3 linked regions of the Elephas maximus indicus genome follow. The protein of the gene in region 1 interacts with the protein of each later gene in a pairwise test. Links are inferred from orthologs where the notes say so. Each region holds a gene or a part of one and is shown on either strand. Other genes may lie near its edges.

Evidence for each region. The genes of interacting proteins can lie anywhere in the genome.
Region 2: the proteins of VPS52 (region 1) and C3H1orf109 interact in binary tests that used the Homo sapiens proteins (3 or more experiments, as listed by UniProt). The two-hybrid records come from large-scale screens. The link is inferred for Elephas maximus indicus from reciprocal best matches to the Homo sapiens genes VPS52 and AIRIM.
Region 3: the proteins of VPS52 (region 1) and TBC1D22B interact in binary tests that used the Homo sapiens proteins (3 or more experiments, as listed by UniProt). The link is inferred for Elephas maximus indicus from reciprocal best matches to the Homo sapiens genes VPS52 and TBC1D22B.

What each region holds. Positions count from the first base shown.
Region 1 is NC_064819.1:96,065,602-96,072,601, reverse strand, and holds the start of VPS52 (vacuolar protein sorting-associated protein 52 homolog), read left to right. Parts: upstream 1-3,998; 5' UTR 3,999-4,257; coding exon 4,258-4,347; intron 4,348-4,466; exon of another isoform or gene 4,467-4,639; intron 4,640-5,128; coding exon 5,129-5,213; intron 5,214-5,376; coding exon 5,377-5,429; intron 5,430-5,610; coding exon 5,611-5,686; intron 5,687-5,871; coding exon 5,872-5,939; intron 5,940-6,246; coding exon 6,247-6,422; intron 6,423-6,786; coding exon 6,787-6,937; intron 6,938-7,000. Other genes in the region: RPS18 (40S ribosomal protein S18), read right to left, coding at 3,244-3,342, 3,841-3,843. UniProt on the Homo sapiens protein: Acts as a component of the GARP complex that is involved in retrograde transport from early and late endosomes to the trans-Golgi network (TGN).
Region 2 is NC_064821.1:79,284,627-79,292,358, reverse strand, and holds the start of C3H1orf109 (ribosome biogenesis protein C1orf109 homolog), read left to right. Parts: upstream 1-4,720; 5' UTR 4,721-4,986; exon of another isoform or gene 4,987-5,148; 5' UTR 5,149-5,151; coding exon 5,152-5,426; intron 5,427-7,732. Other genes in the region: CDCA8 (borealin), read right to left, coding at 1,356-1,396, 3,839-3,967, 4,107-4,203. UniProt on the Homo sapiens protein: Part of the 55LCC heterohexameric ATPase complex which is chromatin-associated and promotes replisome proteostasis to maintain replication fork progression and genome stability.
Region 3 is NC_064819.1:100,951,507-100,958,387, reverse strand, and holds the start of TBC1D22B (TBC1 domain family member 22B), read right to left. Parts: upstream 3,013-6,881; 5' UTR 2,777-3,012; coding exon 2,721-2,776; intron 1-2,720. UniProt on the Homo sapiens protein: May act as a GTPase-activating protein for Rab family protein(s).

The sequences.
Region 1 (7,000 bases):
GAATCTTTAAATTTTTCCATAACCATGCTCCTGAGAAGTTGCTGTCGAGCAAAGATCTTGAAGGCTCTGTTTACTGACTCTAGATGCTAGCCTGCCAAGAGGTTAGGTCCCCTTTTCTCTGCCCCAAGATCGCTGTTCTCTTCAGGCCTCCTCTATCCACAAAAGTACACTGCAGTGACCATCACTTTCTCCTAAGGGCCTGGACTATGTAACAGTTGATAGCCAACTTAATCATTACACTTACCCTCTTTAAGGACACAGCCAGCACTTGGATACAAAAAGGTGGTTTTCCAAGGACTCAAGTCTGAAATTATTTGATCAACTAATTTAGTAGTCCGTATTAACTTGGAAACCCTGGTGGCATAGTGGTTAAGTGCTACGACTGCTAACCAAACGGTTGGCAGTTCAAATCCACCACGCACTCCTTGGAAACTCAATGGGGCAGTTCTACTCTGTCCTATAGGGTCACTATGAGTCAGAATCGATTCAACAGCAGTGGGTTTGGTTTTTTGGTATTTAATTTAGAATCTATTTCTACACTGGACAGAAAAGTTGTTAGTGTGCCTCATACCTGCATTTAAAAATAAACACTGAAGACTCTGAAAGTGTTCCAGGACAACTGGCATCTTGGTGGGACAAGAGTTCCTTGTGAACAAGACCCATGGGGACCTTCAAGTCAACTCTAACCCCTCCAAGTTTCCAAATACTTCCTGGATGGCAGCTATAATCCTGATGTAGAAGAGGGCAGAACACTAGCCTTAAAAAATACAGCAAAAAACTGAAAGTGGCAACAAAACAATGAGGGGAAAAAATCACAGCACAGAAAAGCTTTGCAGGATACACGCATACGTGTATGTTTCACCAACTGCCACTGAGATGGCTCAGATCCATGGCCACCCCATGTGTCAAAGTAGAACCGTGTGCTATAGAGTTTTCAATGGCTGATTTTTCAGAAGTAGATCGCCAGGCCTTTCTTCTGATGATGCTGGCTGGGTGAACTTGAACCTCCAATCTTTCAGTAAGCAGCCAAGCCCTTAACCATTTGTACCACCCAGGAACTAAACCAAAACCAAAAACAGTGCTGTCAAGTCGATTCTGACTCATAGCAACCCTACAGAACAGAGTAGAACTGCCCCATAGTTTCCAAGGAGCACCTGGCGGATGTGAACTGCTGACCCTTTGGTTAGGAGCCGTAGCACTTAACCACTACGCCACCAGGGTTTCCTGCAGATCTATATTGTTAGCTGCTGTTAGCTGGCCCCCCAACTCATGGTGACTTCACACACAAAGGAATGAAATGTTGCCCAGTCCTGCACCCTCCCTGTGACTGGTTGTGGATTAGACCGTTGTGATCTACAGGGTATTCATTGGCAGAGCAGTGGAAAGTAGATCTCCAGGTCTGTCTTCCTAGTCCATCTTAGTCTGGAAGCTCCACTGAAGCATGCCTAGCATCACAGCAACATGCAGGCCTTCACTGACAGGCGAGGGGTGGTAGCTGCTCGAGGTGCACTGGCCAAGAATCAAACCCAGGTCTCCCATATGGAAGTCAAAATTTCTACTACTAAACCACCAAATGCCCCACAGTAGATCTGCTACCTGTCAGTATATACCCTTTTCTTATGTTAACTTTCATTCTTCACCATTCTGGGGCTAACCACGTTTTTGAGGAACCCCTCCCCATACTCAGCCTCCCTTTTTCCTCTTTAATCTTCTCCCAATTTCCTAGAATTACCCCCAATCCCTCGTTCTTAATAAAGGACCACCTCCAAGCTTTAGGTCTGTCACCAAGAGGTAGCTGCCTTTCCTGGCTCTCTGCTAACAAAAACTTCAGTACCCAGAGATCTCTAAGGAACAGCCCTTCCCAATGATAGCAGGGCACCAGGATCCCATCCCCCTGTGAGACTTCTCTTCACATGCTAAATATCTGAAAATGGCTGAACAATTGTCCATGAAATCTAATTCGACTACAAAGATTATGACACACATTTAACAAATCAACTGCAAAGATGCAGAGAGTGAAGAAGCACCCTACTAACCATGCTCCGCTTTTATATTCACAAACTCGCTTATGGCTCACAGCAAGGCTTTGCAGTAAGTATTCAATCTTTAGGGTATCTTACATTTTCAGAGAATATCAAACAGAAGCTTTAAGCTTCTTCTGTATTCAACTGAAGCAGCTCTGTTAAAAAAGAGTGGTTAAGCTGCTTGGCTGTGAAGCAAAAGGCTGGCAGTTTGACCCCACCAGCCACTCAGTGGGAAAAAAATGTGGCAGTTTGGTTCCTTAGACATTTACAGCCTTGGAAACCCTATGGATTGCTGAGTCGGGATAGACTTGAGGGCAGTGGGTCTGGTATTCAATTGAGAACAAGTAAAAGCTGCTCTCTGTATGAGAGTGAAAAAAAATCAAGGAAATTTGACAAACTCGATGGTCGTCAGGACCAGTCGGGACACCCCCTCTGTCACCGGAGGCGGGGGTAAGGTATCCCCAGTACCATCCATTCCCTAACACTGAATAAGCCTCAACAATACACCAGAAGTAGAGGACTGTAAACAAGACTGGCTTGGCCCTGTTCCCTCTGAGTTATGGGTACTGCAGGGCAAGAAACACATTCAGCTATTTGTACAAGTAATTATTCTATAAACGATAGAATGTCCCCAGCCAGAAGGCTGGATGAAAGTAGATATCCAAACCTGCATTTAATTCTTTCAACAAGCCCAAACCAAAATATACTGGGGTTCCCTTTTCAGCTGGAAAGAACACTGACTTTCACCTCCGACAACTGAGTAAATATCCTGCTCAGGACCTAGTGATGACCCTGTCCCATGGATATATTCTTTGACACTTGCAATCTGTTGGCACAGCTACTCATTCAAGATGTGTAAGAATTATAAGGTTTTCAGGGTGTATAAATTTAACAGGAAGGGCTGTTGTTATGATGTAGTGGAGACAGAAATCTCAAACTGAAGGTTCAGAAAACAGCTTTAAATAACTTTAGCAAATTCCGGTCGACAACCATACCCAGCCTTTTCACTCTAGTGAAACGTTTTGGCTTGACCTTAGACCCTTCTCTGGCTTTTATTACTCACCTTTTGTGGTAAATGTGGTTAAGGGATTAATCACTCCCCTTAGCTTTTTTTTTTTTTTAAACCCAGCAGCCAACGTGATCTGGTTGCCTACTCGACCTTGCTCATTTATAATTTAGCTCTTAACAACCCAAATCTCATTTATAATCTTTACTTTACCTTAATGGCAGTGATGGCAAAGGCTATCTTCCGCCGCCCATCGATGTTAGTGTTGAGTACTCGCAAAATGTGCTGGAACTTCTCGGGGATCACCAGAGACTGATTGAAAGAGATGGGGGGGGGGATCAGACACTGTGAACTACCGTCAAACCGTAAGACGAACGAACCACCTCAAACAGGAACGCTAAGTTTGTCACATAGGGAGCAATGACCCACTCCACGTTTTCACATCACCGCAAACTCCTCATTCCTGCAGACAGCAGAATCATGAACCGTTCAGGCCTAGGGATATGCAACTTCCGGAAAGGGGACAGGTCCCCTGCCGACTCCCAAAAGCATATTCTGCGTAGAAGCTGCCGGAGATCCCCGCACACGCCTAAACCTCTCCCCGCTTTCGTGCCTCCAGGGAGTGACCCTTTCCCGGGTCCCGTTTCCCGGAATTGGAAGTCTTTGGTCATCCATTCTCAGGGGTGTAATGCAAGGCTCCACACAGAAAGTTGCAGGCCCCTAGGATAGGGCGTTTTTGGCCCTCTGAAAGCAGACGTTCCCTGCCCCGGTTCCGATGCAGCCAGATCCCGACCCGGACTCTAGACTTACCATGGCGGCGGTAGCTTCGGCGGCGTGTAGGCCTCCGGTGGAAGAGAGAGCGGAAGTGACGCCAAATACTTATATAGCTCTCTGGTGGAAGGGGCGGAGCCATCTGGAAGAAGCGCTTCCTGAAACGGCTTCACCCCAAACTGACTAGACTTCTGAGGAGCTGACTTGGACGCCACAACTTCCGGTGGTGTCTGCTCTTTACTGTCCGTAAAGTTCATGGGTGTGGCAACAGCGAAGATTCCGGGACGAGGCTGTATGTGAGACTTCCGCACTCTCGTTTGTGCTTAGGTGAAGCGGTTACAATTGAAAGGAGTTAGACAGTTTAACTCATTTATCTGCGAACGGGTTTGCGTTGTGCAAGGCTCTCTGGAACGGACTTGCCCGGACTGACAGCTGCCGGAAGTGAGGCTGCGCCTAATGGCCGCAGTTGCGACCATGGCGGCAGCAGCTCGGGAGCTGGTGTTGCGAGCCGGCGCCTCGGATATGGAAGAGGAGGAGGGCCCGCTGGTGAGAGCGCCGGGCTGTTTTCCTCTCCGGAGCTCCATCCGGGCCTCCTAGCGTCAGGAAGTCCCGGGCTGGGTGTAGGCACAAAAGGGTGGGAGCTCGGCTGCTATCGGTAACGCTACCTGTTTGGCTTCCTGGGATCGGACCTGAACCTGAACGAAAACCAGAGTAGCCATGACTCAGTTTCCAGGGGCACAATTTCAACTCCTCCCGATTTGGGGCAGAACAGAGAAGCCTCTGGAGCCACACAGCCTGGGTTCGAATTCCAGCTCTGCCACCTACACACTGTCTTTGGGCAAGTTAACCAGCTTTTTCTATGAGATGACGAAAATAATAGTATCTGTCGTATTAGATTGTGAGGATTACGTGAATGAATATATGTAAAACGGTCCCTGACATGCACTTAAACAGTGTTTAAGTTTTAGCTGACTTTTCTAGAAAGGCTCGGACTCCCCAGAAAGATGGTGATACGACATGTGAAATAGCAGGAGTCTAGGACTCCTAAAGTCAGCTGCAAGATCTGCCCAATTTTTGCAGCTTCTCATCTTCCTCAGAGACCTCCTCCCTCTTCATGGATTACATGCTTCCTTTGCCATATGTCCTGTCCATAAATCCTAAATAGTAGGTGGGGTACAGAGTGAGACTCTCGGAGGTTTTTGACTCAGCACTTACTACTCCCCAGTAAAAGAACCTCTCTCCCACTTGGAAGATTGAGGACGTCCTATTGTATTTTGTTCTTTTCCTCCTCCTCGTACCCCTCTCTCGGTAATTTTTCCCTTCCCAGGGGAGTGGTACTGGGCTCCAGGAGCCACTGCAACTTGGGGAGTTGGACATCACTTCTGATGAATTCATCCTGGATGAAGTGGATGGTAAGTGATGGCATGGGGCCTCTGCAGAGCTGGAAGTTAGAGTGCCTGTAATCTAAGGTGCAGCAGGTGCCAGAAGGAGTAACACAGAGACTGGTGTGCAGATACTTAGTGTGGGGGGTGAGAGCTGTAGATCCGGGCTCTTATGATAACTTTCTATTTCCAGTTCACATTCAGGCAAATCTGGAGGATGAGTTAGTAAAGGAAGCTCTTAAAACGGTGAGGCTTTCCACTGTACTAATCTGCTCCCTCATCTCCCCTCCCCCCAAAGAAAAGAAAAACAGTCTTCTATTCTCATGACATGACCGTGGTGTCCCACTCTCTAGCCCTTTGTTGATTCTGTTCCAGTGATTCTTTGTTGCAACTTAGTCCTGACCTGTCACTTTATATGTCTTCCTAGGGTGTGGACCTCCGTCACTATTCAAAGCAGGTTGAGCTGGAGCTACAGCAGATTGAACAGAAGTCCATTCGAGATTGTATCCTCCACCAGAGGGCAGGAGTGGTGTTATTGACAGGGATTTTGTCGGGTATGGTGCAGGCAGCCCAGCTAGGGCTGAGATTTCCCTGAGGTTTCTGTCATCTCAGGGAGAAATCAGAGAGGTTCTGCAGGTCTGAGAATCTCCATATTCAGCATGAGGCCCCTTGACTTTTTGTGGGTCAGATATCCAAGAGAGCGAAAATATAGCATCTCTGCACAACCAGATCACAGCCTGTGATGCTGTCCTTGAGGTTAGTAACCATGGCCTGTGACCCATAACAAGCATGAACTGGTCCAAGACTTTTGGTGCCATTTTTAGTCATTGACCTTAGGTGGAAACAGGTTAGAGTCATTTTCAGGATGACCTCAGCATCCTTTTTCATGGTCATTTCCATAGCTGATATTCTTTCCGAACGGTGACCTTTGGGATACTTCTCCCCTCATCACCCCCCACCCTCACAAACTGATAGATACTAGAGATTTCACCAAGAGAATTAAATGGCCCACTTGTCCCCTACCAACCCTTTGGTGCTCCAGCAGCATTTACTCTCTCCCCAGCGCATGGAGCAGATGTTGGGAGCTTTCCAGAGTGACCTCAGCTCCATCAGCTCTGAGATCCGGACACTGCAGGAACAGTCAGGAGCTATGAACATTCGTCTTCGAAACCGCCAGGCAGTTCGGGGGAAACTTGGGGAGCTTGTTGATGGTCTGGTGGTGCCCTCTGCCCTGGTCACGTGAGTCGCCAGTCTGAAGGGTCACAACATCTATGGCAGCTAGAGACTTACCACATGGGTCTTCTGGGTCCTGGTCATCAAGCGCCTGCCAGAAGTTGGTGGTTGGATTGACAGTCTTTTCTCACTGCGATATGTGCTTTAGGCATCAAAGATTAGGAGTCATCTAGGGTCAGATGTGTAGTGAGGAGGTTCGAGGCTTACGTGGAGAGTCTAGAAGCAGAAAACTGTACATACAGCCTGACTGCATGTTACAGTGTAAGAAGGTACAGCAGGCAGAGGCTGGGTGTAAGGGGTGTGGTTTGGGCGTAGTCTAGGGATGCCTGGGTCTCCCACCTAACCCACCTTGCTCCTCCCTGCTACCCAGGGCAATTCTGGAGGCCCCGGTGACAGAGCCCAGGTTCCTGGAGCAGCTGCAGGAGCTGGATGCCAAGGCAGCTGCAGTCAGAGAGCAGGAGGCTAGGGGCACAGCGGCCTGTGCAGACGTCAGAGGCGTGCTTGACCGGCTCCGGGTCAAGGTGGGGAGTGGGGGTAGATACCCAGAAACTGCTAGAACCAGGCTCCCTAACACCTTCACCCTG
Region 2 (7,732 bases), on another chromosome or scaffold:
CCTTGATATTATGCCAAATTGTTTTCTAAAGTGGTTGCACTTATTTACATACTGTTGGCAACCAATACAAGTTTCTAATGATCCGCATCCTCTCCAGCACTTGGTCCTGTGTCAGACTTCATGTTCTTTATGAGTCGAGAGGTCTCCATAACGGTTCTATCACACTCCTGGGTCCTTCAAAGGGCTTTCAGTGGCCATTCTAACTAAACTTGTTCACAGTGGTGGCTACCACCTCTATGTATGGGTATTGCCAGAAGCAGACATCAGAACAGGTGTTAGACTAGGAATGACACAGGTTTTCATCTCTGGCGTGGCAGGGACTACATGCACAGCTCTGAGGATTCTGAGGCCATGTGGGCTTAGCAAGAAACAGTGCTGTAATAGATTGTGATAGTTAAGGGAAGCCATGTGGGCTTAGCAAGAAACAGTGCTGTAATAGATTGTGATTGTTAAGGGAAGCGAGAGAGGTGGTATCCCTGCCAAATTTCTGCTGTCTCTATAAACAACTGACATGCAATGAAGGTATCACTGGTGGCAGGCCACCAATCACTCACAGTGCCTAAATGAGTGAACACAGCAGACCTGAGACCACTATGCTTAGAAAGGTCTGCTTGCAAAGATGGCCCTTGGCTGGCATCTGGGAACTTGAATTTTGGGAGGGTTCTCAACATTCCCTAATGATAACGGGTCATTGTACCCAAACTCTTTGTACAGACAACATGGCTTATCCTGAGCACCTGCTTTCCTTCTAGGAGTCTAGAATTTTGGTACACGCTAGCCAGAGGGTGCCTATGTGACCAGTCCTTGATAAAAACCCTGGTCGTTAAGTCTCTAAAGAGATTCCCTGGTAGAAAGCATTTCACATGTGTTGCTACAACTTGTTATTAGAGAAACTAAATGTGTCCTGTGTGACTCCACTGGGAGAGGACTCTAGAAAGCTTGCACCTGATTTCCTCTAGACTCTGCCACATGTACCTTTTCCCTTTGCTGATTTTACTTTGTGTCATTTCGCTGTAACAGATCATAGCCCTAAGTATGACTATATGCTGAGCCCTGTAAATCCCAATAAATCACCAGACCTGAGGGTAGTCTTGGGACTCCTGACACACCTACCAATTAAGAGCTTCCATACCCAAGTCTCATCCTTCCCCTGGGTTTTAAGACTAGACTTCTCTCAACCTGGTGTAATAACATTGGCTATATTATATCAGAAGCTCTGATTTGTAGTTTTGTGTCACGACATGAGCAGATCATGTTCCCTATGGAACCTCTTCCACAGTAACCACTCACTGGTTGGATTCTGTGACTGGACTAAAGAACTAACCAACAGTTCAAAAACAGGACAGATCACTTACTGTTGCTGCCTCTTCCAGGGCCTGCTTGTTTCCTCCAAGGGCTTTAAAAAGAACATGTTATTTAGTTATTACAGATTTTGACAATAACTCATCTTCCCTACACTATCAGTTATCTGTCTAAAACTGGACCAGATTAAACCCTTGGTCCAACATTCCAGGGCCTTCACAATCTAGTCTTTCTCCAGCCTTGACTCTTACGCATGACCTACTCTATGTTCCACCACACCAAACTTCTCACCTTTCCCCAGATGTGCCCCCGCCTTTCAGGACTAAGTGCCCTAATACTTATTATCTCTGCCTGGAATACTTCTCTGCATTCAATAAACTCCTAATTCATCCTTCAAAACTCTTCTCAAAAGCCACCTCCTCAACAATGGGCCCTGCTATGTATCAAGCATTCCACTCACCACGTCTCAACCCTCACAACCCTTACTCTACAGATAGGGAAACCAAGACCAGAGAGATTAACATGATTGAGTAACTTGAGGAAGATCACACAGCTGGAATATGAAAGAGCTAGAATTTGAACTCAGGTTTGCCTTGACCCCCAAACTGTTTATTTTTCCCTCACAGTAGGTTGCTGCAAAGTACTGAGTTAGTTACTCACCCTCTTCCTACCCTACAACTACTCAGAGCTGTTTAAGTGTCCACCCTTGCCTTCGCTGTGAATTCCTTGAGAATAACAATAATATCCATAGCTTCTGGCAAAAATCTGGCATCTGGTAGTTGGGTAGTAAGTGTTTGTTGAATGAAGAGGTCTTTGAAAGATTCAGATGTAGAATTAAAGTTAGGTGAGGTTCTCACGCTAGAAACTCTCACAGTATTCTGTATAACAGCCAGGAACTGTGGCTTTGGAAACAGAATTTTATCTGGGTTCAAATAGACTTTGCCACTAATTAGCTTATGAGACCTTGAGCAAAGTAACTACCTTCTCTGTGCCTTAATCTTGTCATCTATAAAATAGAGATAATATTGACAATAAGCTTGTTATGGGGATAAAATTAATTAACATATGTAAAGCATACAAAGCACTACATAAATGAGCTTACTGGTGGCTACTCTGCTCTTATAGCACTTATAACTAAGTATAAAATCATGTGTAAAGTTTTTAATCACCCTTCTACACTAACCTGTAAGTTCCTGAGGCACAATGTCTGAATTTGTCAATGCATCTTCAGCACCTAGCATTGTGACTGACAAATGATCAATGAACACTTGTAGAAACGAGCAAATGAATGAATGAATAAATAAAAGGGCAACTTTGAAAAGATTATTCAATGTCTGCTATTGTAACAGAGGAATCCTTGGGTAGTGCAAACAGTTAATGTGCTTGGCTGCTAACCAAAAGGTTGGAAGTTTGAGTTCACCCAAAGGTGCCTTGGAAGAAAGGCCTGGTGATCTAATTCCAAAAAAAACAACAACAACAACTGAAAACTCTACAAAGCACAGTTCTACTCTGACACCTGTGGGGTTACCATGAGTCAGTACTGACTTGATGGCAACTGGCTACTGTAAACAGAACATGCCTTTCTATCCAGGAAGGAGGCTATAGCCTGGGTAACTAATAAAAGAAAGTGGAAAAGTTGGTTAATGCAGCAGAAAGGGTGCCTACCTGCATTTCCTTGAATCTTTAACAAGGTGGCGGGAGAACAGACTAGGATTTTTCTTTCTCTGGCCAGGAAAACTCTTGTATCTTTACACATCACAATTTGATTTGCCCATTTTCAAACAGGCAATTTTTATAAGCTGCAGAAAAAACTCCCTAGGGCTCACCCTTCCATCTGAGCTCTGGTAACAAACCAAGCTGTTCATGCATTCATTTAATAAAGTTTACTGAGTACTTAGTACCTATCAGATACCTTTCTGGCTACAGATAAATTTCCTGCCCTGTCATTGTGCAGCTTACAATCTTGGTTGTGGATAAAAGGATATGTAATCAACAAAATAGGTAAAATATGTATTAGATTAGATCCGGAATCAGCAAACTGTTCCCACCTGCTTTGGTATGGTCTGTGAGCTCAGAACGTTTTTTTTACATTTTTAAGCAGTTGGAAATAGTACCAAAGGAGTATTTCGTGACATGTGAAGTTCAAGTTTTGTGTCCATAAATGAAGTTTTACTGGAATACAGCCATGCCCATTTGTTATAGCTGTTTTGGAGCTATAAGAGCAGAGTTGAGTAGTTATAAGAGAAACCCTCTGACCCGTAAAACCTAAAATATTTACTACCTAGGCCTTTATAGACAAAGTTAGCCTACCCAGCATTACCCAGAAAAAAACCCCAGCATCAGATGATGATAAATGCTATGGAAGAGGATAAACCAAGGAGAGGAGATGGAAGTGGGGCGGCAATTTTCAACAGTGGTCATGGAAGACCTCACTAAAAAGGTGACATCTGAGCAGGTTCCTTCTGAAGGCAGTGTGCAGTCTGTACCACCGAGGGGTCCCAGACCGAGGCCTGCGGGAAACTCTAGCAGCACCTACCGAAGTAGTCGAGCCAGTTCATCTCGCGCAGTGCCTTGGGGAGCCGCAGGATCTCGATGTTGTACAGGTTATCCATCTCCTTGAGGAGGTTCTGCCTGTCTGACTGAATTTGCTTGTATCGGATTTGCACTGTGAAAAGGCAGAGCCGACAGGACGCGGGTCACCCGGCGGATGCATGAGGCTTAGAATCCGTGCTCTCTGCGTCTCAACCCGCCGGGACCCAGCGATGGTTCCAGGTAGGTGCCACGACCCGGGCCCCGCCCCTTACCTTCACGGTCGAAGTCCTTGAGAAAGGAGGCGAGCTTCCGGCTCCGCAACGAATTGGTCTTAGTCGACCGACTGCTGCCCTTCCTAGCCGGAGCCATGGTGCTTCGGTGGAGGCTGTGGGGACGGGGGAGACCGAATGACAAAGGGTCAGGGAGGAAGGGAAACTAAGGAAACCGCAAAGGAATAGGGGAAGGTGGACAAGGACCCAGAAGGGCCAGTAGGGAACTCCCCTCCTTCAGGGTCTGGGCATAAAGAAGGCGCGAGTCACATACCTGCAGGTCCCAAAACAAGAGCGAGGAAAAACCTCTCCGCTCCACCAGCGAGGAAATCTGCTCTGGGGCTAACCGGACATGCGACCGCCGCCACCAAATTCAAACTTAACTGCTCCAGGCTGGCGAATGAGAAGTCGCCGTCTTAAAAAGGTCCCACAACATCCAATCATTAGGAAGCACTACAATCAAGCAGCCAGTCCACACGTAGAACTACAACACCCAGAAGTCATTGCGGCTGAATGACGTATTTCCTCAGCGCAGGGGCCGCCTTGGCCTGAGGTTGCGCTTTACGAGCGGGTGGGCGGGGTGGGGACGAGGAATCGCTTTTGGGCATGCGCACAGAGATCCGCGTGTCATCGATGTTTCGTTGCGGTGACGGTAAATTTGACCTCTGATTTAGGGAAAGCGGTGAGCAGCCTCAAGAAGCAGAGACAGGATTCCGGCTCCAGTAGCACGAGTCTGGAGAGCGAGACAGAGCCTCGGCCCCGGGAATCCGCAGTCTGAAATAGGAGACCGCCCTATCCCTGGAGAAACCTCCTCTGAGGAACAGTCGGAAACGCTTCCTGAGGTGGGCCACAGGGGGCTTCCTTCAGAGAGCCGCTTCCGGAGGTAAGACGACACCTCGCGACAGGAACTCCTGCCTGAAGGAATGGACAGCCTTACCTGAGGAAGCGGGCTTGAGGGCGGAGGCTGAGAACGTGTCCTGACACGAGGACGGACGTAACTCCCGACCGACCTGGGACCTAACGCTGCTTCTGTTGGTTTGCACAGACGATGACTCAGGACCGGCCTTTGCTTGCGGTGCGGGAGGCCCTGCGGCAGTGCTTCCCCGCGGTGGAGGAGCAGCAGGGCCTGTGGCGGAGCACGCTGAGCGACTGCCAGCCCCTCGTGGCCTCCCTCAGCAACCTGGCCGAGCAGCTGCAGGCGGCCCGGAACGTGCGGTTTGACGACGTGCCGCCACTTCGCGCCTTCCCAGACCTAGAGGAGCAGCTGAGGCGCAAGCAGCTGGCTGCCGGTGACACCGTCCTGGACAAGCTAGGGGAGAGGCTGTAAGGAGCTCGGTAGATTTTAAAACTGGGTGTTTCATAAGAGATGAATCTGTTAGAAGGATGACTCTGTCAGAAGGGTGTTTTTCTCTTGCGAGCACGGCACTTGGAGGTGTCTCAGCCTTCCCCCCTTTCCCTCTGTTGCAGTGGGACCTCTGTCAAAAAGCCATTTTCTGATATTTCTCGGCAGAGGCTAGGCCTGACAGTGGTGAGCTTAGTAGAGGTACAAAATCTGAACAGAAAAAGAGCGGAGGAAGCTTGTTAGCACTTTGTATTTTCCTTTCTTTCTTTTTTTATTCGGTAAAAAGCTTGTTGTGTGCCATCGAGTTGATTTTGCCTCCTAGTGAGCCCATGTGACAGAGTAGGACTGCCCCATAGGGTTTTCTAGGCTGTAATCTTTATAGGAGCAGATCACCAGAAGCAGATCACCAGGTCTTATCACCAGGTCTTTCTCCTGTAGAGCTGCTGGGTGGATTTGAACTGCCAGCTTTCGATTAGCAAATGAGCGATACCTGTTGCACCACCAGGGCTTCTTATGGGAAAAAGCTACAAAGAGCTGTATTCTAAACTTAGTAGGTGTCAGAGCTAAGGGTTTTACATACATTACCTCATAAAACCTTTTTAACACCTCTGTGGCTTAACCTCAGTCAATCCCATTTGGTAAGTGCAGAAACTGAGGCTCAAGCAAATTGCCCATAGTCACAACTAGTAAACGGAAAAGCTGGGATTCTAATCCCAGTCTGCCTGACCCCAAGGCCAGAGCCTTCAGCCACCACTTTGTTCTGCTATGCACTGGTCTCTCTGTGCCCAGGAGTAGCATGTCTCCAAGTTCTGATCTATGCTAATTGTTAGACCTTCTGTCTCAGAGTTACAGACTGTTGAGGACAGGAGAAACAAGGCACATGTGGCCATTCCTTGAAGGTTCCAGTGTACAGAGTTTATGCCGTGGACTAATAGGAAACCATCAAATTGGGGACCATCATTTGTTCAAAGTACACATATCGAGCACCTATGGGATGCCAGGCATAAGGTGCTGGGAACATATCAATGAACCAGACTCAATTCTAGTTTCTAGGAGTTCTCAGCCCAGTAGAACAGATAGACAATCAGTCGATTAAATTATGGTATGTCCTAAGATAGTGGGGAAACCCTGGTGGTGTAGTGGTTAAGTACTACGGCTGCTAACCAAAGGGTTGGCGGTTCAAATCCACCAGGAGCTCCTTGGAAACTCTATGGGGCAGTTCTGCAGGGTCGCTATGAGTCAGTATCAACTCGATGGCACTGGGTTTTGTTTGGGTTTAAGATAGTGGTAAGTACTGGGAGTTACAGAAGCATAGAGGTACATGTTTAACCCAAACTGTGAGGAGAGGAGGAGCTTCTGGGAGGAAGTGATGCCCGAGACCTGAAGGATGAGTGGGTGTTAATGGATCAGGACGTGGATATGGGTATTGTTGCAAAGACAATGGCTGGCATAGAAGGGGCGGTAAGAGATGAGAGGTAAACCAGCTCATGAAGGTATGTGTAAGCTGTCGAGGACCATATGGTTCTAGATATTTCTTTTGCTTCTGGATTGAGGGTACTTTGATGAGGGGTAAGGGCAGAAATCCCCAGGAACCTCTTGCTTGGTCATAGACACATCTCTATATGGGTCAGCTCCTTAATCAGTAGTAGCTGTTAAAGAGCTCCCTGGGAATCAGAATTATTCGTAATAGCCAAAAAGTAAAAACAACCCCCAAAATGTTCATCAGCTGATAAATGGATAAACAAAATGTGATATACCCATATAATGGAATATTATTCAGCAAATAAAAAGAAACAAAATGCTGATACTTGCTACGATACGTATGAACCTTTAAAACGATATGCTAAGGGAACGAAGCCAGACACAAAAGGCCACATTATTGTATGATTCCATTTTTGTGAAATGTTCGGAATAGGCAAATCCATTGAGACAGACAGTAGATCAGTGATTGCTAAGGGTTGGACGAAGGAGTAGTGGAGAGTGACTTCTAATGGGTATGGGGTTTCTTTTTGGGGTGATGAAAATGTTCTAAGATAGAGGCGATGTGTGCACAACTCTGAATATACTAAAAACCATAGAAATTTACATTTTAAAAGGGTAAATCTTATGGTATGTGAATTTTATTTCAATTCTTTTTATTTTGTTGTTGAGAATATACACAGTAAAACATATACCACTTAAACCATTTCTACATGTACAATTCAGTGACATTAATTACATTCTTTGAATTGTACAACCATCCTCACCCTCCTTTTCTGAGTTATTCCTCCCCATTATTAACATAAAC
Region 3 (6,881 bases), about 4.9 Mb from region 1:
TGAGTCTTGAAAACATTATGTTAATAAAAGAAACCGGTCACAAAAGGCCACATATTATATAGATCCCATTTCTATGAAATGTACAGAATAGGCAAATTTATAGAAACAGAAAGTAGATTAGTGGTTACCATGGGCTGGAGGGAGGAGAGAATGGGGACAGACTGCTAACGAGTTTGGGGTTTCTTTTTGGGGTGATGAAAATGTTCGAAGTTAGTGGCGACGGCTGCACAACTCTGAATACACTAAAAAAAGCCCCCCAAAAAACAAAAAAACCCCACTGGATTATACATTTTAAAAGGGTGAATTCTATGAAATGTGAATTTTATCTCAATAAAGCTTTTTTTTTTTTAAGGGTCTTAATTCATTTTGAACTTAGGTTATTTTTATGAAATAAAATTCCTATTTGTTGTCATTAAGGTCTCTGGGTCATGATGCAGGAAACTGAAAGTAAGCTGCCATCACTTTGATTTTGTAACTTTCAATTTGCAAATAAGAATAAACCGGTTCACTTCTAGGTTGCACGGACTACTACCCGGTCATTTGTGCTGTTTCCCACCTAGGAGAAAGTTGGTCTTCACTACGGCCAAAACAGTACAAGTGCAAAAATCTATTCTTGAGAAAATGCCCTAACATTTTTACTTAAGACAAAGCACCTTTCCTAAAAAAGCCTTAATTTTCTCCCATAACCAGGGGCTCTTGAGGCTTCCCTGCTAAAATCACAGTGCTGAACAATGTTTCTCTTCAACATTCGAGGTAGCAAAAACTATCGTGAATTGTGGCAACGTTTTAATGCCTTAAGAATAAACAATGAAGACAAACTAGTATTTACCTAGTGTGAGAAATATTATTTTAAATGTTTACTTGCTCTAGTAACAGTAATATTAATAATTACTATTACTGAACAACTATAATGTGCTAAATAAACATTGATCTAGGTTCTTTACAAATAGACTATTTCATTGAGTCCTCATGATAATCCTTAAGAAGCTATTTTTATCTGAATCTCATAGATAACAGATATCTCAGTAAACTGAGGCCTAGAGAGATTAAATAGATTATTTGTCCTTGGTCCCAAAGGTAAGTAAGAGAGCCCAAACAATAGCCCAGGTCTTTTTGCAGTTAAATGTTCTTTCCTCTATGCCTCCATATTCCTCTCCGAAACAAAAAGGGAAGCCAGAAACTTGAAAAAACTGAAAGAAGACTCTTCTTCCTATCTCACAAAAGTAGTGCTTTCAAAAAGTTGACTGTTCCTAGAGTCCAGTAAAGAAAACATGGAAAACAAAAGATCATCAAAAGTAACCAGTAGTCAGTAGGCACAAAAGAACCATGCCATGTCCCACATCTCATATATTCCTTCCTGATTTAACAGTTTTCCCATGGATTCTAATTATTATTTTAGGATGTCAAAATGTAATGATCTCACTATGGAAAACCCCCAAACAACTGGCAGTTGGCACAGCTGGAGAGCTCACGACTAGACAGGGAAGGAAAAGGGAATCAGTTGGCAGGAAGTGGTGCTAATCTAAAAACATCAAAGGTCTTTAGCATTAACACTGTAATTCCACAGCACTTTAATCTGAACCTATCTTTGCATTCCCTTGTATTATTTTAATACTGTATTACTAAAAAGCTGGCTCCCGCATTATTCTCCATAGGTCTATTAAGATCCTATATAAAATAGGTCCGCTATACATAAAAAAAAAAAAAATTTTTTATATATAGGTACCACTGACCTTCATTTCTCTCTTGCTAAAAGTCACAATTTCAAAGGATTATCCCAGAGGGAAACGGCTAAATCAACTAGGAAAGGTGGCACGTGGGCACAACCAAACATGAATTTCATCACCAGGCAGACGGTGGCTGGCAGAAATCCTAAATGCACAACTAAAACACATTCCTCCTTATACTTTCAGAACTGTGCCCAAAACAAATTGAGACTGTAAACCAACAGCAGGATGATAGATGGGCAATTGCTAAAAGCCTCAACATACACCAAAAAAAAAAAAAAAAGTAGCTTAGAAGGTCTGCTCTTCAACTAAGCAACTGAAATTGACAGGATTTGGTACATTTGTACAAGCAAGCATTACAGCACAGGAGAGGATGAGATCTCTAGGGCTGGCCAAATCCTTGGGAAATTCTAAAGAAATAGTCCCGATTTTGGGGTCACCTTGTAATAATTCCTAATGGGAAAGGGCCAACTCAAGATAAAGTAAGATCTGGTTGGAGAATTTTGCCCCCGAAGGCGGCGCCAACAGAATCTTTGGAGAACCCAAGTGAAAGATTCGTATGTGTCAAACTGAGGGTTATCCCAGGAAAGGGGCCGTCCTCGTGCAAGCAACCACCTGTGTGGAGACCCCCGAGAGGGAGTTTTGTTTAAAGTGAGAAGCAACCCTCCGAGCCCAGAACGGACTCTGGCTACTCACCCAACTCCACTGCCCCTTAGGTCCGGTCTCTGGCCACCTCCTGACTGAGGACAGCCTCTCCAGAGACCTCCGACCCCAGATTCTGCTCTGCTCCCACACACAGCTGTCCCCCAAAGCTTGCCGCCCGTTCCTCTTCCTGACAGCTGCCCTGCAGCCACAGGCGGTCCCCGCTCCCCCACCGGGATTCTCCAAACCAGCCATCCGGAATCTGCGACGCCCCAGGCCCGCGGGATTTAGACCGTAGGATCTGGAGGAGTTTGGTCCAGTCCTCTCTCCCTGTCAGCGTCCTGGGCTCACCTCCCCGGCAGCTTGGCGTTCCTTTTCCAAAACTGCTTGCTGTTCTCGGAGGCCATTGCTCTGGCCCGGGGAAAGCGTTGTAGGCGGGCCGTGGGGGAGCCGGCGAGACGCCCCCAGGACCCCGCAACCGGAGGGCCAACCCAGGCCGCTTCCCTGCCGCGGGTCACCCGCTCCCAGCTCTTGGGGGCGCCATCTTGGAAGTGGGCAACCCCTTACCCAGCGCCGCTGCCATTGGTGGGCTATGCAGGCTGTAAACGGGAGAACCAATCGAAAGCCAAAATCCTGCAAGCTGCTGAAGCCGAACGTCAACGTCAGGGACCGGGCACACAGGTGGACCGGGAAGGCGGAGCTTGGACGAGCACGGAGGCGGAGCTGAAAGTTCCTACCCCTCAGGAGAAGCAGGTAAAGAAAGGGACCTATTGGAAGGAAGAAAGGGTTCCCTTTTCTTTGGGGGATGAAGCCTCTTGGGATCCTGAATCTAATATTTCTTGGAAAGAGAGAGCTTGATAATGTATACATAAATCTGTAACCTGAAAGTAAGGCCCTATGTATTGGTTGCTGCCCGTCTTTAAACACCTGTCAAATTCCCTTCCCCCTTCCTTGTTGGGTTTGGGCTCTGCTTTTTTTTTTTTTTAATCTGTGAAGGAGGATGATACAGATTCTATAGCCTAGAGCTGCTAACTGTCCAACTTGTGAGTAACGGCTGGTTCTGCACGGAGTATCCCCGGCCTCTGTTAATTGAATACTTGTGCTGTGGGTGAAATTCAAATGACCTAATAATCCCTGTTTCAATCAATAACTTACTATAAGAACCCAGATGCTGACAAACAGTGTATGGGACAGACTAGAACTGAGCCATAGGGTTTCTAAGGCTGTAAATCTTTAAGGAAGGACTGCCACATCCTTCTCGTTCAGAGTGGCAGGTGGGTTCCAACAGCTGACCTTTAGGTTAGCAGCCAAGGTCTTAACCACGGCGCCACCAGGGCTCTTCAGTTCAAACTACCAGGTCTTATTTCTTGCTAAAACATAGTAGCTCTCCACGGTGTGAATCACAAAGATTAAGGATGTACCTCTCCCCCTCCCCCACTTAATTTCTCTTATTACCGGTTAAAAACCGTTGTCCATTCCGAATCACAGAGACCCTATAGGACGGAGTGGAACTTCCCCATAAGGTTTCCAAGGAGCGGGTGGTGGATTCAAACTACTCACCGTGTGGTTAGCAGCCAAGCTCTTAACCACTCTGCCACCAGGGTTTCGATTTCACTTACTAATCTAGTGTAAATCTTTCACCCTTAAATTCATTGTCAATCTAATTTTGGCTCAGAATGAGATTTAAAATTAGCTTTTTAAATCCTTTAAATGCCTTTTTGATATTTTGCTCTTTTTAAGTTTCTGTGGTTGTATACCATGGTGATTTACAGAGGGTGGGAGTGAGAAGTAGTTTTTGCCCCAACAAAGATGTTCTTTGCCTCTTTGAAAGTAGAGACTTTTGAGGCAAACCGGTTGTCCCTTCCCCACCCATATTTTACTGCTACTACATGTCCTAGCACATGTTGGAACTTACTTAAAGACCTTCCCCCTCCCCAAAGAAGTACATTACCCCCATTTTCAAGCTTCTTTTGTCTCTTAATTCCAGAATTAAGGGATTCTTGTATGAAAGGAGCTATTTTTACCCTCTCCAAATCTTTGGTCCTTTTACAGACTTTCATCTTATCTTCTCTCAGATAGTCACCTTTATGGGCTTTTAATTCATCACACAAAAGGCCCTCTTTTTTTTTTTTTTTTATCATTTTAGCTGCCTTTCTAGGGCTCTTTTCTTTCTTTGGATGCGGCGAGCAGCACTGCACACTGAGCCCAGAGATGTGTGTCCTGAGCTTTTGTTGATGCTGATGTTTTCCTTTACTCTGGACATCCAGAACTTTTGCTGGTCTTTCAGACTTTAGAAGAGCTGATGTCTTGAAGGAATGATCTACAGAGACTTCTAGATTGCTTTCCTTGGTGGTAACTGACAGTTCAGATTTCATTCTCTTAAAGATATCATCTGCATTGTCTTTCCCTACGTGAGCCCCCTTACACTTGTCCACAGGGTAAGACACCTGCCTCTTTCCAGCCTACTCACATGGCTTTAGAAATGTTCCAGAAGAAGCTCCCTATTGACCTGATATTTCGCTATGTGGAAAGCAGAGTATAATTTGTATACCTAGACATGTCTTAAAGTATTCCTTTTTCTTAATCGTTTATGAAATGTTACATAACACTGATTCTCAGGGGATGCTGTTAACATTGTTGAACCCAGAGAAGCCCTTATTATTTCTATTCATTGTCTTCTACATCTAAGACAGTTTCAAATACAAGACAAGAAAAATCCACCCCAGCATCCTGGTGCATAAATTTTTAAATAGTCTTTGGTAGGAAGGTCAAGAATCCCTGGACCCTTTCTCACCACCACCGCCACGACCACTCAAACCTAAACCAACCACATCTTTGCTTGAACCTTTATAGCAGCTTCCTATTAGGCTGCCTGCTTCTACTGTAGTTTATCCTCCACATAGCACCCAAAGAAAACCTCTTAAAATACGGGTCAGATCATGTCACTCCTCTGCTCAAAACCTAGTAATGGCTCCCATCACCGTTGGTATTAAATCCAAATTCCTTAAATGCACTACATGATGTGGTGCCACCCACCTCCAATCTCATCTCATTCAACTCTCCTCCCTGCTTAATCTGTTCTAATCACACTGGCATTTTTGCTGTCCCTTGAACACTGCCTACTTCAAGGCCTTTGCATTAGCTGTTTCCTCTGCTTGGAATTCTCTTTTCCCAGATATCTGAATGGCTTGGTCCCTCATTCCATTCCTGTGTATTCCCAAATGTCTTCACCTTGGAGAAGACTTCCCTGATCACCCATCTTAAATAGTAGGCTCCACCTACTCAGTTTTTTTTTTTTTTTAAATAGTGCTTTTTTTTTTACTATCTGCCATATCATGTACTTGTTTTTTGTCTGTCTCCACCCACGAAAAGCAAACTCCACCCTCCCCAGGCAGGGACTTGGTTTTGTTCTCTACTATATTCTCATCACATAGATTAGTATTTAGCACATCCAAACCAAACTCATTGCTGTTGAGTAGATTCTGAATTATGGCAACGCCGTGTGCTACAGAGTAGAACTGCTCCACAGGGTTTTCTTGGCTGCAGTCTTTAGGCAAGCAGATTGCCAGGTCTTTCTCCCACAGAACCACCGGGTGGATTCAGACTACCAACCTTTTGGTTAGCAGCCGAGCTCTTGACCATTTATGCTACCAGATCTCCTTGTTTGGCACATAGTGGGTGCTTAATAAATATCTATTGAGCTAGAAAACAGAGAGTGTAAACAATTCATGTCTTCTATGTTGTTCATATACATTTCTGGTTGGGAGTGATTATGAAAACCATGTTTCCTAACTCCTAGTAGGATGTGTCCATTTACCAAAGATTCTATAAGCTCGCCCATACCCTTTTTTGAAGAACAGTCTTACACACTTAGGAAAAAGTGTCATTTTCAAACCCTTTTGCAGCTTCTGAGAAATGTCTCTGTACCTAGAGTGATGAGGGAGAGAGGCCACACACCTAACCAGGAGATTAATCAAATCGACCCTGCCCATCAAAGGGGAGATAACTGTGGCAGCCAGATCACCCTCACATCAAGTTTTGCCTAACTAGAGGTAAAAATCACTAGTTTGAGGTTCCCATGGGGTCCTTAGAGCCCTTTTGATGGAGGTCCATAGTGGCAGGCACAGACTGGTCCACTAGACCAGTGTTTCTCATCTGTTAACGTACATATGCATCACCTAGGGAGCTTGTTAAAAGCCTAGATTCTGATTCAGTAAATTGGGGTGGAGCCTATAATCCTGCATTTCTAACAAGCTCCCAGGTGACACCAATGCTGTACATCTGTTAATAGCACTGTATGGCTCCGTGATGAATTTATCCCAGAGGTTTGATTATTTTGAAGCTATACGTAAAGGACTCTCAATGTTGTCTGCCTGCAGGTTTTCACCTTTCCCCTCCTTAACTTCATCTTCATTTATAAAGGGAGTAAAACAACTTTTGTTGTTGTTAGCTGCCGTAAAATTGGCCCCCAACTCATGGCAACCCCACGCACAATAGGACAAAATGCTGCCT